Linked DNA regions of Arabidopsis thaliana. The protein of the gene in region 2 interacts with the protein of the main gene of each other region in a pairwise test. Each region holds a gene or a part of one and is shown on either strand. Other genes may lie near its edges.

Region 1 (7,066 bases), on a different chromosome or scaffold from region 2:
AAAATAAATTATATATGAATTTATAAACCAAAACAAATATGTATGGGGTCTATCATATTTTATGTCCCCACATCATTTTTAACATTTTCAAAACCGACTAAATCATAGATCTGTGAGATATACAAAAGAAAAGGATTTGGTGGTTGAACCTAGTTCACTGGATCCATTATACATGGTTGAACCTTCAACGTACATCTTTAATGAAAAAAAATATGAAAAACAAAAAACATTCAACGTATACTATTTCATCTTCCTCGAAATTTCCTTGCCATGCGCTGTAGTATTGTAATCCTCCAAATTTGTTACGATAAATAGTACACCAATAATAAATGTTGAAACTATTGAGGTTGAGATTGTATCGTGGTGATATTGTTGAGTCATTTGTTGGGAACTGGTACGGAGAGAGTACGGTACCACCAATTAATACATACAGTTTATTGGATTTTCCATTTATCAAGAAAGATCCATTTTGTTTTAATTTTTGTTTGTTTGTTTGTTTGTTAAAGCAAATATGTTTGTACTGCAATGTTTGTTTACTTGCCTTAGCCTTTACTTTAGGCTTGCATGTCTGAATATGTCTATTCATGTGTAAGTGAAACATCTTGACAATCCTAAAACCTATCGTAAAATATAATGAACATGGTCAATCCACTCGACATCAATTAGTCATAAAAGCCTATAAAATTGATGCATTTCTAGTTTAGTGTATCATTTTCAAAATTCAAAAGAGGAGATTACATTCGAGTAAGTGTCAAATATGAAATAAGCTACGTGTTAAAACTCAAAAGTTAAAATTGAAAGAAGCCACGATCGAGATGCTTCTTCTCGTCATGCAAACGCATGTTTTGGCTGGAAAGCTGACAAAATCCGCCCATATTCTTTCTCGCTCTCTTTATCGAACTGACATCTTGGAGAGTTTTGCTTAAGACCAAAGTGTGAAATCTAAAGACGAAGACAACAAATTAAAGTACCATATCCCATGATTAATCTTAAGCTTTGTGAGAAAGTCAAGGCTGTCCACAAAGAACATGTCATCTCCCATCTTTTCTTACATACGATCATGTGCTCGTTGCGTGTCCTAAAGTTTTATATGCTTTATTTATTTATTTTTATATTTTCCCCCTTTTTCAATTGTTTATACTTTATATCAATCTTTAGCATATGTTCGTATAAATTATGTTGGTATATATTAAAGTTACGTAAGACAAAATTTATTAGAATTCGAAATCCTAACTCGACAAAACGAGTTAAATTGAGCTTTATTTGATTTTCTATATTCTAAAATAGAATGACTCAAAGACAAATTGTGTATATATGTATATATATAATTTTAATAACACAAGTTGTATGTGGAGAAAACGATGTAATTATAAATTTGGATCATATTTTCGATATAGTATGAATTTTTTTTTAATTTTTTTTAAAGATTACAAAATTTAGGAAGATAAATACACGAGTGAGTCTGACGAGAGAAAACGCGGTTTGGATTTGGGTAGCAAAAGAGACAGAGTGAGAACAGCTGTAATTTGAAGTCACTCATCAATTTAGCATCATCACCTTCTCCCACACTCTTCTGACTTCACTCTTCGCTATTTTCATTTACTATTTCCTATTGACATTTTCTTCGTAAGTATTCCATATTACTAACAAAATTCATGTTGTTTAATGATGTAAGAAAACAAGATGCTAAAAGGCGATATCGTTCTTCTTGAATAGCATTTGTATGTATTATGTAACATGTTACGTTATGGTGTATAATTAAAGATTACCAAATGATTATAATACTATCAAACGTATTTATACTAATTACTGTTTTGTACGACATCTCCATTTTGTTAACGCGTAAGTTACTCACAATTCACAAAGCGATGAGCCACGATGTTAAAATGTTAAATTCAATAGCAAGTTGTCATATAGCTAGGTTTAAAACCAGATTTTTCTTTAGACTTTGATGATACACGTAACAAATCTAATAAAAAGATTAGATGGATCAATATTCTAGTAATAAAAAATATTACAAGTAATAACATTTTCGTGCACGTATGTTTGCAGGTTTTACAGTCACTTTTTCATAAAAATATATAAACATGATACAGTATATATATATTTGGTGTATAACTACAAATATACACACTAGTTTAATCGGTAAAGAATAAACATAGACAACCAATAATTAAACCATAAATGGGGCCACTTTCTTGGAAAGTTCGTATTACGAGTTAACGCGTTAAAACGCAGCTGTAATTCGTAATCTCCTGATAGTGATGATAGGTACGTATATAGTCAATATATAAAAGAAAATTGATATCTCACAACCTAAAAAAATACTATAGGATATTTTAGCATCACTCCTCGATTTGCTCATCAACTGGCGTCCGTGTGTATAATATATATACTCTCCTGGTTAATTAATTCCTAGCAAAATTGACTCCAATCGGTAATTTATTTTAGTTTGATAGTTTAGTTCACTCGGTTTATATTTTGGACAAATTCTAGAAAGAATCTAACACGTTAATAAACTTGGAGAGAATAAATCTAATTGTAAAATGGACCCTTGTGAAATTAATGTTTTTTGTCATTTAAATTGTAGAATAAAAAAATATACATTTTTCTTTGTAACAAGAACATGCAATTGATAAAAATTTACGTGATCGCATAATTAATTGTTGTTTTGTGGTTCCTCAATAAAAAAAGCCAATCAAAATCATTATACGTTTATGTATTTTTCCTCTAAATACCAAGAATATTAGTTATACATGATTTATTTTTTATAAGAAAATGCAAAAATAGCAAAAGGTTAAGATGAGGCCATGTTCAGGTTCATTGTTCGAACTTCGAACAATTGGGCAAAGCCTTAACATGCATCCATATTCGAATAAATAACTAAGCTCCAAAGATTTATGTTCACTAGTTTCTTTTTTTTTCTTTTTTTAATTTGAATGGAACAAAAATGTATTAATGCCAATTGCTAGGATAAAGGAAAAATTAGAAGAAAAACACCTGTCATGCACCACAATGTCACATTCATACACAAGAAACCATACTATATTTCATTTGACCCTATTTTAGATTTATATCAATAAATAATATTTCATCTCTTCCTCTCCCATACCCCTCCCAAATCAATCCATCTCTATATATAATCTTCTCAGCTCACACTAATCCTCATCAAAAAATCTCTATCCATCCACAACAACAACAAAAACTCAAGAACAATATCTCCACTTGATCACTACCACATTGTCCAATCACTCTACAAAGCCTGTACGTACACAACAACATTACCATGGTGAAACAAGAACGCAAGATCCAAACCAGCAGCACAAAAAAGGAAATGCCTTTGTCATCATCACCATCTTCTTCTTCTTCTTCATCTTCTTCCTCGTCTTCGTCTTCGTGTAAGAACAAGAACAAGAAGAGTAAGATTAAGAAGTACAAAGGAGTGAGGATGAGAAGTTGGGGATCATGGGTCTCTGAGATTAGGGCACCAAATCAAAAGACAAGGATTTGGTTAGGTTCTTACTCAACAGCTGAAGCAGCTGCTAGAGCTTACGATGTTGCACTCTTATGTCTCAAAGGCCCTCAAGCCAATCTCAACTTCCCTACTTCTTCTTCTTCTCATCATCTTCTTGATAATCTCTTAGATGAAAATACCCTTTTGTCCCCCAAATCCATCCAAAGAGTAGCTGCTCAAGCTGCCAACTCATTTAACCATTTTGCCCCTACTTCATCAGCCGTCTCGTCACCGTCCGATCATGATCATCACCATGATGATGGGATGCAATCTTTGATGGGATCTTTTGTGGACAATCATGTGTCTTTGATGGATTCAACATCTTCATGGTATGATGATCATAATGGGATGTTCTTGTTTGATAATGGAGCTCCATTCAATTACTCTCCTCAACTAAACTCGACGACGATGCTCGATGAATACTTCTACGAAGATGCTGACATTCCGCTTTGGAGTTTCAATTAATCCGACGGTCCATAATACATACTTTAATTAGTTTTCTAAATCATTTTTTAAATTCTTTTTTATATATGTAACATATATTTACCCTCGTCGTAATTATTCATTTCCAAGTTGTTTGTTGCTTGGAGAGAATTGACGACGGATACGATTATATAATATAATTGTAAGTTTTTATATGTAGCAAACTCGGTACAATTCGGATTTAATAGGGATCTAGGAAGTTCACATGAACAAGCGACTCTTTTTTTTGTCACTTCTTTGACTTTTTCATGTGAGGTTTCTTTTCATCAATTTTTTTTAACAATGTGTGAAAATATTTCTGTATTGTAATGATATATTTCGCACAATAGTTTTGTGAAATAAATCTGGCGCTATATATGATTTTGTATCATTTTCTCCAACTCGTTTACTTGTATATATGTGCCAAGTTGCTACCAATATGTGATGATTTTGCAATCCAACACATTATCTTTGTTTTTTATTCTTATTTTGGTAAGTAGTAAAGCCGATGATGTATATAATTGACAATCATTTTTTTTTCACTAATTGACAACCATCATTGGTTAGAAGTTAGAACACATCATTGACATTGACATTGGTAAAGTTCTTAAGATGAATATATATGTAAATTAATGTATAATTAAATCTGAACTACTTTTTCCCGAGGTCTCTTCATAATTCATAATTTGTTTGATTAAATACTATTATGTACTATACTTTTGCACAAAAATTAAAGTATAGTACTATACTCAGAGGAATCTTACTGTTTCATGTGCCGTGGAAAAGTTTGGTATAGCAAATAATGCACACATTGCTTGGGGACAAAGTTCATATCTTTGAAACTTGGAACTTAAAAAACCATTTGTTTTGATTTAATTTATTTTCCTTTTTTGGGAAAGAATCCCATGGAGACAGAACTGCAGTCAAGGGATATAAATAACTGCAATAGAGTTAGAGTTATGTAGGATTCACTAATGAGTACTGTAAACTGATTTTTCTATTCATATTCAGAGTACTCTAACTCATTCAAACCATGAAACTTACTTGAAACCATCACCAAAAGGTAGGAGATCTCTAGCTTGCTTTATTTTGTAGCTTTGGTTCTATCAATAGATCAATGTATACAAGATTGTTTAACGAATATATGATTTAACATGTAAGAGAGTGACCGCAAATTGTGATATTAGTCAAATTATGTTCACAACCTTTTACAAACAGATGCCATGTGGAAAAAGAGTAGACCACAAAAAAAAAATTGTAGTGTAGATGAGAGATGTGGTTGACGTAGTTGATTGTCTAAGGCCATCAAAACCATATACTTTTGTTCCACCTTTTAACTGAGTGATGATTAGAGTGCACACAAAACGTTTTACTCTGATTAAAAAGTACAATATTGTGACTTGTGAGTTTGTAACTGTCCTCTTACGACCAGAGCCATCCTCCACTCTAGAAGTGAAAACTAATAAGCTTGCTCACTCGGTCAAACATAATTGTTTCCTAGTGTGTGAACGTATACGGTTCAATGCTATTTGTTGGCTGGCTTAGATGAACTTGGTCTAATAGTTAAGTATTGTGATCATATCCTATGAATCTACATCATACTAACACCGCATATATAAAAAGAAAAAATGATGTGATCAGTGATCATGTGAGTAAAGTATGATATATTGGTCTTAGTGTGACAAAAATCTTGGAGACGTTATCGTCTGTATAATAGAAAACAGGACATAGTTAAATGGTTTGTTCACAATTTTGAGGTCCCAACTAAACATAAGATGGGACCCCATACTTAAGAAGATAAAGTGATTTGATAAGACATTCATATGATTCATATCATATCACATCAACATTAAATCTGATTGTGTAGAGTGTTATAGCATTTCTTTTGTCAAAGGGAACATCTAAACTTCAATATTTGGGATAAAACCTTGAAGTCACATGACATGTCTCCTGCTCAACGCTCTTATTTTAGTCGTTTCTATTTCTTTAGTGATTTAGGATTCGGCGTCCATGGGCTTTGGTTTTGGGGCCATTATCGTTTATTTTTTGTCTAGCTCATTATCGATTCTGGCCCATCCATTGCTAAATAAAAAAAGAACAGAAAAAATCATTAAAAGTTGCTGTCTGCTGTAAGTTCTTTTTCTAGAATTTCTTTCGTTGCAAATAGTGAAATGCATTGGGCTTCAAAAAGAGGCTCGGCATAATTCGGTTCATTTAAGGCTTTATAAAGTGGATTGAACTCTTTAAGTTCAATTTCTGAATATAAGAAGCAATGGTGATTGATGGCTACAGTGAAATATGCAATTTTTAATAAGTTCATTGGATTAAAAGAATTTTAGTAGACGATGATGTCAAGTTAAGAAAAAAGGTTTTAGTAAATAGGAAAACTTGTAATGGATTTTCTTCCTTCTTCTAAGTGGTAGATTCCAAACTGACAACCTATTGATCCCCAAAAATTTTGTGGAAGAGTCTTGTTTGCTCGCCAAAAAAAAAAGCCCTAATAATCTCCCTTGACAAAATGTGTGGAAGAATCTATATATTTTTGATATAGATTTACTCATTTACAAGCCAAATGAAAAAAAAAAAAGTTTACAATAAAAATGAATAATTATGGGCATGCTTTAGATAATAATATAAGATTAAATAGAAGTCAATATAGTCCACAAGATTAGGTTTAGTTACTTTTTTGCACCACTGCCAAAAAGTTGTATCCGATCGTGTCCTTGCACGACATATATTTTCTACTTGTACTTATCTTGACTCTGAAAATTGAAAAATATTGGCGGCGGTGACAGAGTTATCATTTACTTGTCATGTTGGATAAAAGAATCCAATTACTACTAGCATTTTAATTTTATCATAGGCCCAGATAACATAAGTTTTGGTCGCTTTCAAATATCAGTAGCCTACCAAACATGTGACGCCAAGCTTTACAGGCCAAACACTTTCTTCTGTTTCTTGTATCGGAGAAGAGAAGAGAGACTTTTGTAGCAAAGAATTGTTTGCTAGTAAACTTTTTCTATACATGTATAATTGAGTTAAGAGTTAAGGTCATATGTGCTTTGTCTTTTAGTCTTTTTCCCAATCCCA
Region 2 (7,813 bases):
CGTATAACGTTTGAGATTATGTAATTAATATTGGTGAATCGTAATTATATATAGATAATTAATGGTTGATTATATATTACAGATGCACATGCATATATAAATTTTCTTCATTTTAGGTATTGGTTTTATATCTTGAAATTAAAGTGGTGGTCGTTTTCTATTTGGATAATGCGTGATGCATATATTGCATTTCAGACTTTATATGAAGATGGTCATATCTTCAAAAGTATCAATTCATCAAATCAGCTTTGATCTTAAGCTGTTTTACTTTTATTTTAATTTCCTTTCGTTAAATTTTAATCTGTAAACAATTTATTGCAATTCTCGTAATCCCAAATTCTGAACTTCTACACCCAGATAATCCTTATAATATGTGTCTTAATCGCTATTATGCACGTGTGTAGTGTAGTTTAAGCTCATACACAATTTTGTGTTCAAAAAAAAAACCTCATATAAAATTTAGTTTGTGCAGACGACTTGAAAGTGAAGTAATAATATTTTTGGACATAGAATAACTAGATAGACTCTTGACAATGATTTTCAAATGGTAGATAGACTTTTGTGACCAAAATAAGATACTGAAAGGCGATGTTGATGTCTCATGATTAGAACAAATAAAAAGAAGAGAACTATATTTTCCATGTAATGAAATAAGTGAAATACAAAAAACACTTAAGATCTACTATAGTAACCAAAAACGCTTTCAAAACCATTAAAATAATATTTTATTTTTATCGGCAACACAAGTACAAATGTAAATCGTGGGCTTAAACAAAAAGTGAATCCGTGTTTACCTATTTGAAGACTATAAATGTGAAATAAACACTCGTAAGTTATAGTTTGATGGATAACACGTACGACTCGTACTTTTGTTTGTGTCTTACGTACCGATAATGAGATCTCGAGCATGTAGCCTGTAGTCTCTACACACATATCTTCTCATATTAATTTTTTTCTGTTATGGACCTTATGGTTATTAGAATAACAAAAGTGTACGAAAGTGAAATATTCTCAATTTTGAATAACAATGCATTGACCCTATGCTCAAACTGTCACAATCAAAGCATTTTTCTATATGAAATCATTTTCATATTTTTTATTAAAAAAAATGTTCGAAGTTGGTTAAACATTGTTTTCGAATTTTATCTGATATCCCTAAATATTTTCTTAAGGCAAATAATATGCTTATTGTCCAAAGACATTTTGTCCAGTAGCATTTTACTTTAGATATCTTCTATTTTCTAATACTTTACTGACCTGGTCGAAATCTTTTTCTCTCCTTTGCGGGAAATCATGAGCCAAGTCAATAAAATTAGCAAACGAGATAAAAGATAGAAAAATGCATATCTAAATTAAAAACATAGAAACTAATTCCACGAATATAGGGCTTAATTTAGGACGATTTTCAGTCAAAAACGTCAAAATCCACGGAACAAGAATTGGGTCAAACTCATTGACCGGTCTAAATAGTTTCCTCCTACGTGAGATCCTTTACCCACGTCAACACCATTATATCTACGTGGGCTTTCCACGTCATGTGAAGAGGAGAATCGAGGGTATCACATTTTTGCATCAAGTCCACGCTGGAATATATTATAAAAATTATGTGAAAATAATTTGTACATACACTGAAACACACATGCATTAGTTTAGTATATACAAATATATACATACACATAAAACCAAAAGTATATATATATATGTATGATTGTTACGTGAAACTCCCATAACCTCTTTTTTTCCAGAAAACTATAAGAATTTGAATTTCTTCTCTGTCCAAACAGAAGAACCTTTGTTCTGTTTTTAATTCAATTACCTCTTTGTTTTTTCAGTTTTTGTTGTTTTTTCCTCCCAATATTTGAATTTCTTCCATGGATTTTCTTGTTCATCATACATCACTCATTCCAATATTATTCCACAAATCATCCTTGAAGCCTCGTTCATTAATTTTCTTGCTATAATTCATATTTTCTCGGGAATTTTCTTTATTTTCCCAGAAAGTTTTCGCATTAACATTGGAGATATACAAAGAACACAAACATGTTGCAAGACATGATCTCGTCTCACTCTCACGATCAGCTTTCCATCGTAATTCTCTTCTCATTATTGCTTTCATTTTTATTCATGCAATGCGTAGATGTTTTTGTCTTTGAAATTTTGCTTACATGTATAGATCATATAAACTCGAGTCTAATCTTATAAACTGATTAATTTTTATTCCGTAGTCTTTTATTCGGCAACTACCCTATAATTTCAGCTAGTTTTTCTTTTTTGGTGTAACGTCATTTTCTTCTACTTATATTCCATTTGATCTTCTTATAAATTGCTTCATTCTTTTCGCTTTTCTTTCTTTGTTATTCTCTCCGCACTTCAATTTGTCCTTCCATGCGATTTTTTTTTGAACAATCATTATCATAATTCTCATTGGCATACGATTATTACTTATAAACCAATAGAAAATCGTCACATGATATGGAACAATATTGTTCTACAAAATAACTGTAACCATAATTCACTATATCTATCGTATTTTAGTATAGATTTTTATTCTCATCAAACGAAAAATGCTAGATTTAATCTCTCACCTTGGATTTTATGCAAAATCTACATATTACGTGAATTTCACTAGGAGCATTGTTTGTTATCATGATGGGTTTGTATATGATCATGATCATAATGGGTTTCACACATGTTCTGATATTTTATGAAGTGCCCTTTACTTTTTCTTTGTGGGAAAAAAATCTGGATGTTGGTTCATACCAGGCAATTTTAAATTATTTTGTCAATACGAAAAGGAAATACCAGAATCAGAAAACTTTCCGTTTATAGAAACTCCACTCTTCTTTACTTTATCTTTTTAGCTATTGGAAGTAATTGGAACACTTCTTCTTAACATGTCACATAAAAGAACAGATGCATTTAATCTCTCTTGTGTTGTCCTCAACAAATATTGATAACAAACAAACATTGGATTTGATCAAGACACCAAAATCTTTGGAGTGTTTGGATGTCGAAAAACAGAATCAAAACATCTTACAGATTCTTAACATAGTTAAGCCAGAACAAAATTACTTAAGTATAAATAAATTTCTCTTAAGATTTAAGAACTAATATCTTGTAGCTTCTTATGATTTCACCAGTTCTAATTTCTTGTGACTCAAGCCAAAACCTTTGTTACCTTTTTTTGATGCTTGGCTTTAACGTAATCTCTTCAAAAGATCTTGGTTCATTTACTTTCCATGCTCGATCTAATCTTTGAAACTAACTATTGTTTTTATTATCTTAACAGGATGATATCACGAGCCCTCTTAGTGCTCAGATCTTCGATTTCTGCGATCCACAACTCTTTCAAGAAACCTTTAATCAATCCTCTGAAGTCACCTCTACTTCAAACATTCTTGAGAAATCCGGAAGCTTCCATTCCAACACTAACACCACCACAACAACTGAGAACAGTAACAACAACAACAACAACAAGAACACAAACCTTCAAGACGATGAAGATGACAACAACAACACGGATCTGTCCATAATCTTTGATTCACAAGAAGATTTCGAAAACGATATAACGGCTTCAATCGATTTCTCATCATCTTCACTGCAATATCCAGTCATCGATCATCTCCTCACGGCAATAAGCCAAGACCAGTTTGATTTCTCATCAGGTCTCCAAGTTATTCATCAGCCTCCTAACATTTCATACTCTGGAGATCCTCTGTCTCTATCGGCGATTTCCTCTCTAGCTCCTCCTCCCTTACAATCAGGGGTTTTCGAAGAAGATTGTCTTTCTTCAGTCCCAAGTTACAATCTTGGTTTGAACCCTTCTTGCTCTTTCTTCCGTTCGTCCGGTTTACCGGCGTATATGAGTACCGGTTTATTATCTGCTGAAAGTAATCTCGGTTATCTTCCCGGGAATATTCATGTGGGATCAGAAATCAATAAGCCACATGATCCACTGATGGACTTTCAAGCTGATAATGGTGGTTTTTTTTGTCCGGATTCCATCAAACGTATGTTTAATCCAGAAGATCTCCAGGTAATTGAGTTTTTGTTACAAATATTTTCCGGTTAACGTTTGGTTATCTTTAAGAACCGGTATGGAGCTAAGATTTCCGGTCACAAGACCGGGTTGGTATTCTGATGTGATGCTAACCGGTTTAATTTTGTTGAAGAAGGCACTTGGTGGTGGCGCCGAGAACCAGAGCCACTTGGTGACACCTCAAGCTCATCCAGCATTAGGACCGGTCGATATAAACGGTTTAGAAGACTCAACGTTGAACAAAGTTGGAAAACTCTCCCCTGAGCAAAGGAAAGAGAAGATTCGTAGGTACATGAAGAAGAGGAACGAAAGGAATTTCAACAAGAAAATCAAGGTTCGGTTTTTATTAAACCAAACCGGACTTAACCGTTGTTAAATGTTGTCCCAATGATTTTTTTGGGGGGTTGTAGTATGCGTGTAGGAAAACATTGGCAGATAGTCGACCAAGAGTTAGAGGAAGATTTGCAAAGAATGATGAATTTGGTGAGCCAAATAGACAAGCTTTTTCAAGCCATCATGATGATGAAGATGAAGACGATGTAAGAAAACCGGGTTATTTTAACTCGATTTATATGAATTTATGTGAAAACTAACTAAGCCGATTGGGTTTACAGATGGGAGTGAAGGATGAGGAACAATTGGTAGATTCTTCAGACATTTTTGCACACATTAGTGGAGCAAATTCCTTCAAGTGCAACTACCCAATCCAATCTTGGATTTGAGTTCCAAGTGCAACACCACATATACCTCATGTTTTAACATGAATCTTATAATAGTTACACAAATAGTATTGCTATAGAGTTATGACTTGTATACTTAGTTTTGTCATGCCCCCAACAAGTTCTGTGACTTCTGTCAAAAAAATAAATAATCTAACTCGTATTGAAAATAAATAATGAATAATGGGTTTAGGCAGGTTTGGATGAATAAATCAGTAGTGAGAATAAGGTTGTAATTATGTTACCTAGCAATTTGGAAATTTTGTAGATACTATGATATGTGATGTCTTGTATTTGATAAGTTGAGTTGAATTTTTTATCACCTGAACACTCTATATATATAATCGTCATATGAGTTATTATTTTGCTTCTCAAATCATTCAGATGTTCTATGCATACAAAATGAATAGACCGGTCAAATTGTCATGTCTAACACCTGGTTAGAAGATCTAATTAGTAATTAGATAATAACTATTTGATCCAAAAAAAAGGATAGTAGTAACTATTTTTAAGAAAAAGATGAAATAATTGGGCTTTAATTTGTTAGTATCAAAATGTTGGACTGGGCCAACAGAGTGTTACAGATCAATTATATAATTAAGGCCTCCCTTGTAGGCTACCATTTAAGATTAATGTAAAGCTTAAACGATTGACAACTTGATGCATGCGCAATAAATGATGATCGTACCATAATTTCATGGCCATATATAGTTGCTAAACTGAAAGAAGAACAAAAAGGTTTGTAGTAACTTTGTAATGAAATAATTCGATATTTTATTATGTTGAATAGTTCTTTTTGTTCGTTTCTGAAAAGTGAAAACCCATTTGCTAATTTTTTTTAACTTCTAAGTTCTAACCGAGGACTGTTAAAATATAAATGGCGACTAAGTCAATAACTTCGAACCAAACGTATCAACGGCAAATATTAAAATATAGTGATTTTGACTTTAGAGATGAATTATGGTATTGAAATGTCACCATCAAATTTATGAAATCACTATAGATTTTTATGTTATATAAAACTATATATATTCAAGAGTTTAACTATGCCATTTGACTTATAAACACGATAAATACAGTTTTATAATCTTACGGTCGAATAAATGCAAAGTGATTTCTTTTTTTCTTTTTTGACAGCGCAAAGTGATTTCATTGTTTGGTTCCTTAATTTATCGTATAATCGAAGTGTTCAGAGCAAACAAAACTTATCCTAAAAGTCCAATGAGTTAAAAATTTCATCATGGCTATAATTACTCTTTTGAAAATTAAAACATCCGATCTTGATCTATATAGATGATAGACTTACACAACTTGATCACGACACAAGTCTTATCAACTTCGAGTCTATTTTATAACTTATTTTCCAGAACATCTACACGTGTGTCAAAAATCAAAAATATCGATAGATATGATTTTCGACCAGACACACTAACGAACTATAAAATCCAAGAAATAAGACTAAATCACATGCATGAAGAAACATGTATTCTGGTTGATGCTTCACATTTCCTTTTTAAAAAGGTTAATGAGATTAGTGCAAACAAATGGACCGGATTTGGTGGAGGAGAATCTTAGAGTATACAAACCAGAGCATCAATTTTATAATACGTACGGTAGGTCGACTGAATTTACACGTATATTTAAAGTCATATAGATATATATTTACAAACATATAATCTTCTAGATGAATAATTGAACTGACATTTACGATCTTCAAGAAGAATAATACACATATGTAGTGGAACTAAATTTCACTATACTATTTTATCGAAATTTACGTATTTGAATTTTGAAATTTAAATAAAAATGTAAGTGAAGGTGCAACCAAATGGTCGAGTCAACCATGTGCCACAAGCTCACGGTCCGGAATGAGACAAAACAGTTTTGTAATTTTGTTGGGTTGGTCCATATATTCTCAATATTCGTAGATAAAATATCAATATATGTTCTAAAGCCTCCAAATGTCAAATATTTTAATCATGTATAAAAAAGGCAAAATATGTATTGTAGGGTTTGTTTTAAAACTTTCAAACAATATATAGGTTTAATTTAACCTTTGCCATTATTGTATACGGAGCTACCTACTTTGGAAGTCGACCGTTTTCTAACAAATCACTCAATATCTATCTAATTAAAAACCTACCATTTTTATAACACAATCATACAATTTAAAAACCTCTTATTTTCTGGTTGAATGTTTATATTAGTCAAGTCAGTATTGCATGTTTAGTACAAATTTGTTAAAATTTAACAACAATCAAATTGCAAAACTAACTAGAGAATTTAGAAACTTTGTTGAAACTCGTATAATAAATACATGCTTGAAATTTAAGAAATTTCTTCTTTTGATGTGTAACTAAATCTTATTACAATTAATACTACTTTTGTCTTTTTTTCTTATTCGTATCTTTTTTTTTTCCTTAAATAATGGCCTAACTCGATCCGGTCTTGGTAAACATCATGGACACTTGTATAAATTTCAATATCAAAATTGGTCATCCAAAATTTTCTAATGATCGGGCTAATTTCGTTAGCAAAAGAGTTATATACTAATCAACTACATATAAGAACGTCCAAATCAAAACCTAAGCACATGAATTTGAATCGATCCACTACATCATCCATACAATTAACATAAAAAAGTTCTAAAAAATCAATAATTGAAAAAAGAAGATCTAATGAAAAAAAAAACTTTAATGAAAATAAAATAAATTAATAAAGAATAAAGAAAGAAAATAGTGAAAATAGAAAAAGTAAATAGTAGAAGAAAATGGGGGAGTTAATAATGTGGGCACTAGTCTCTGAAACAGTAACTTCTACTACTAAAAACTCCTGCTTTTTCGCCAACAAGTAGCCATCACTACCTTCCTTTTGATTCCCTCTCTCTCTCTCGATCGTGCCCACCAGCTCACTCACCCTCCTAAATCCACACTTTAAACTAAAAAACCCTAAATCTCGAGCCTTGACACAAGAGAGAAAAAAGAAACACACAACACAAAGAAGTGGGTCCGCATTTGTAAGAATCACCATTCCTTAGTAGTGGCCATAGTCAAGT

Evidence for each region.
Region 1: the proteins of AT2G33350 (region 2) and DREB26 interact in a two-hybrid assay, tested with the Arabidopsis thaliana proteins (one large-scale study listed by BioGRID).

Annotation. Positions count from the first base shown.
Region 1 is NC_003070.9:7,693,369-7,700,434, forward strand, and holds DREB26 (Integrase-type DNA-binding superfamily protein), read left to right. Parts: upstream 1-3,058; 5' UTR 3,059-3,286; coding exon 3,287-3,979; 3' UTR 3,980-4,463; downstream 4,464-7,066. UniProt on the Arabidopsis thaliana protein: Transcriptional activator involved in the regulation of plant development and tolerance to abiotic stresses. Involved in salt and osmotic stress response pathways. May be regulated by the stress-related genes RD29A, RD22, DREB1A or P5CS during stress response.
Region 2 is NC_003071.7:14,132,076-14,139,888, forward strand, and holds AT2G33350 (CCT motif family protein), read left to right. Parts: upstream 1-3,066; 5' UTR 3,067-3,127; coding exon 3,128-3,202; intron 3,203-3,289; coding exon 3,290-4,036; intron 4,037-4,172; coding exon of another isoform or gene 4,173-4,175; coding exon 4,176-4,373; coding exon of another isoform or gene 4,374-4,415; exon of another isoform or gene 4,416-4,449; coding exon 4,450-4,578; intron 4,579-4,653; coding exon 4,654-4,761; 3' UTR 4,762-5,086; downstream 5,087-7,813.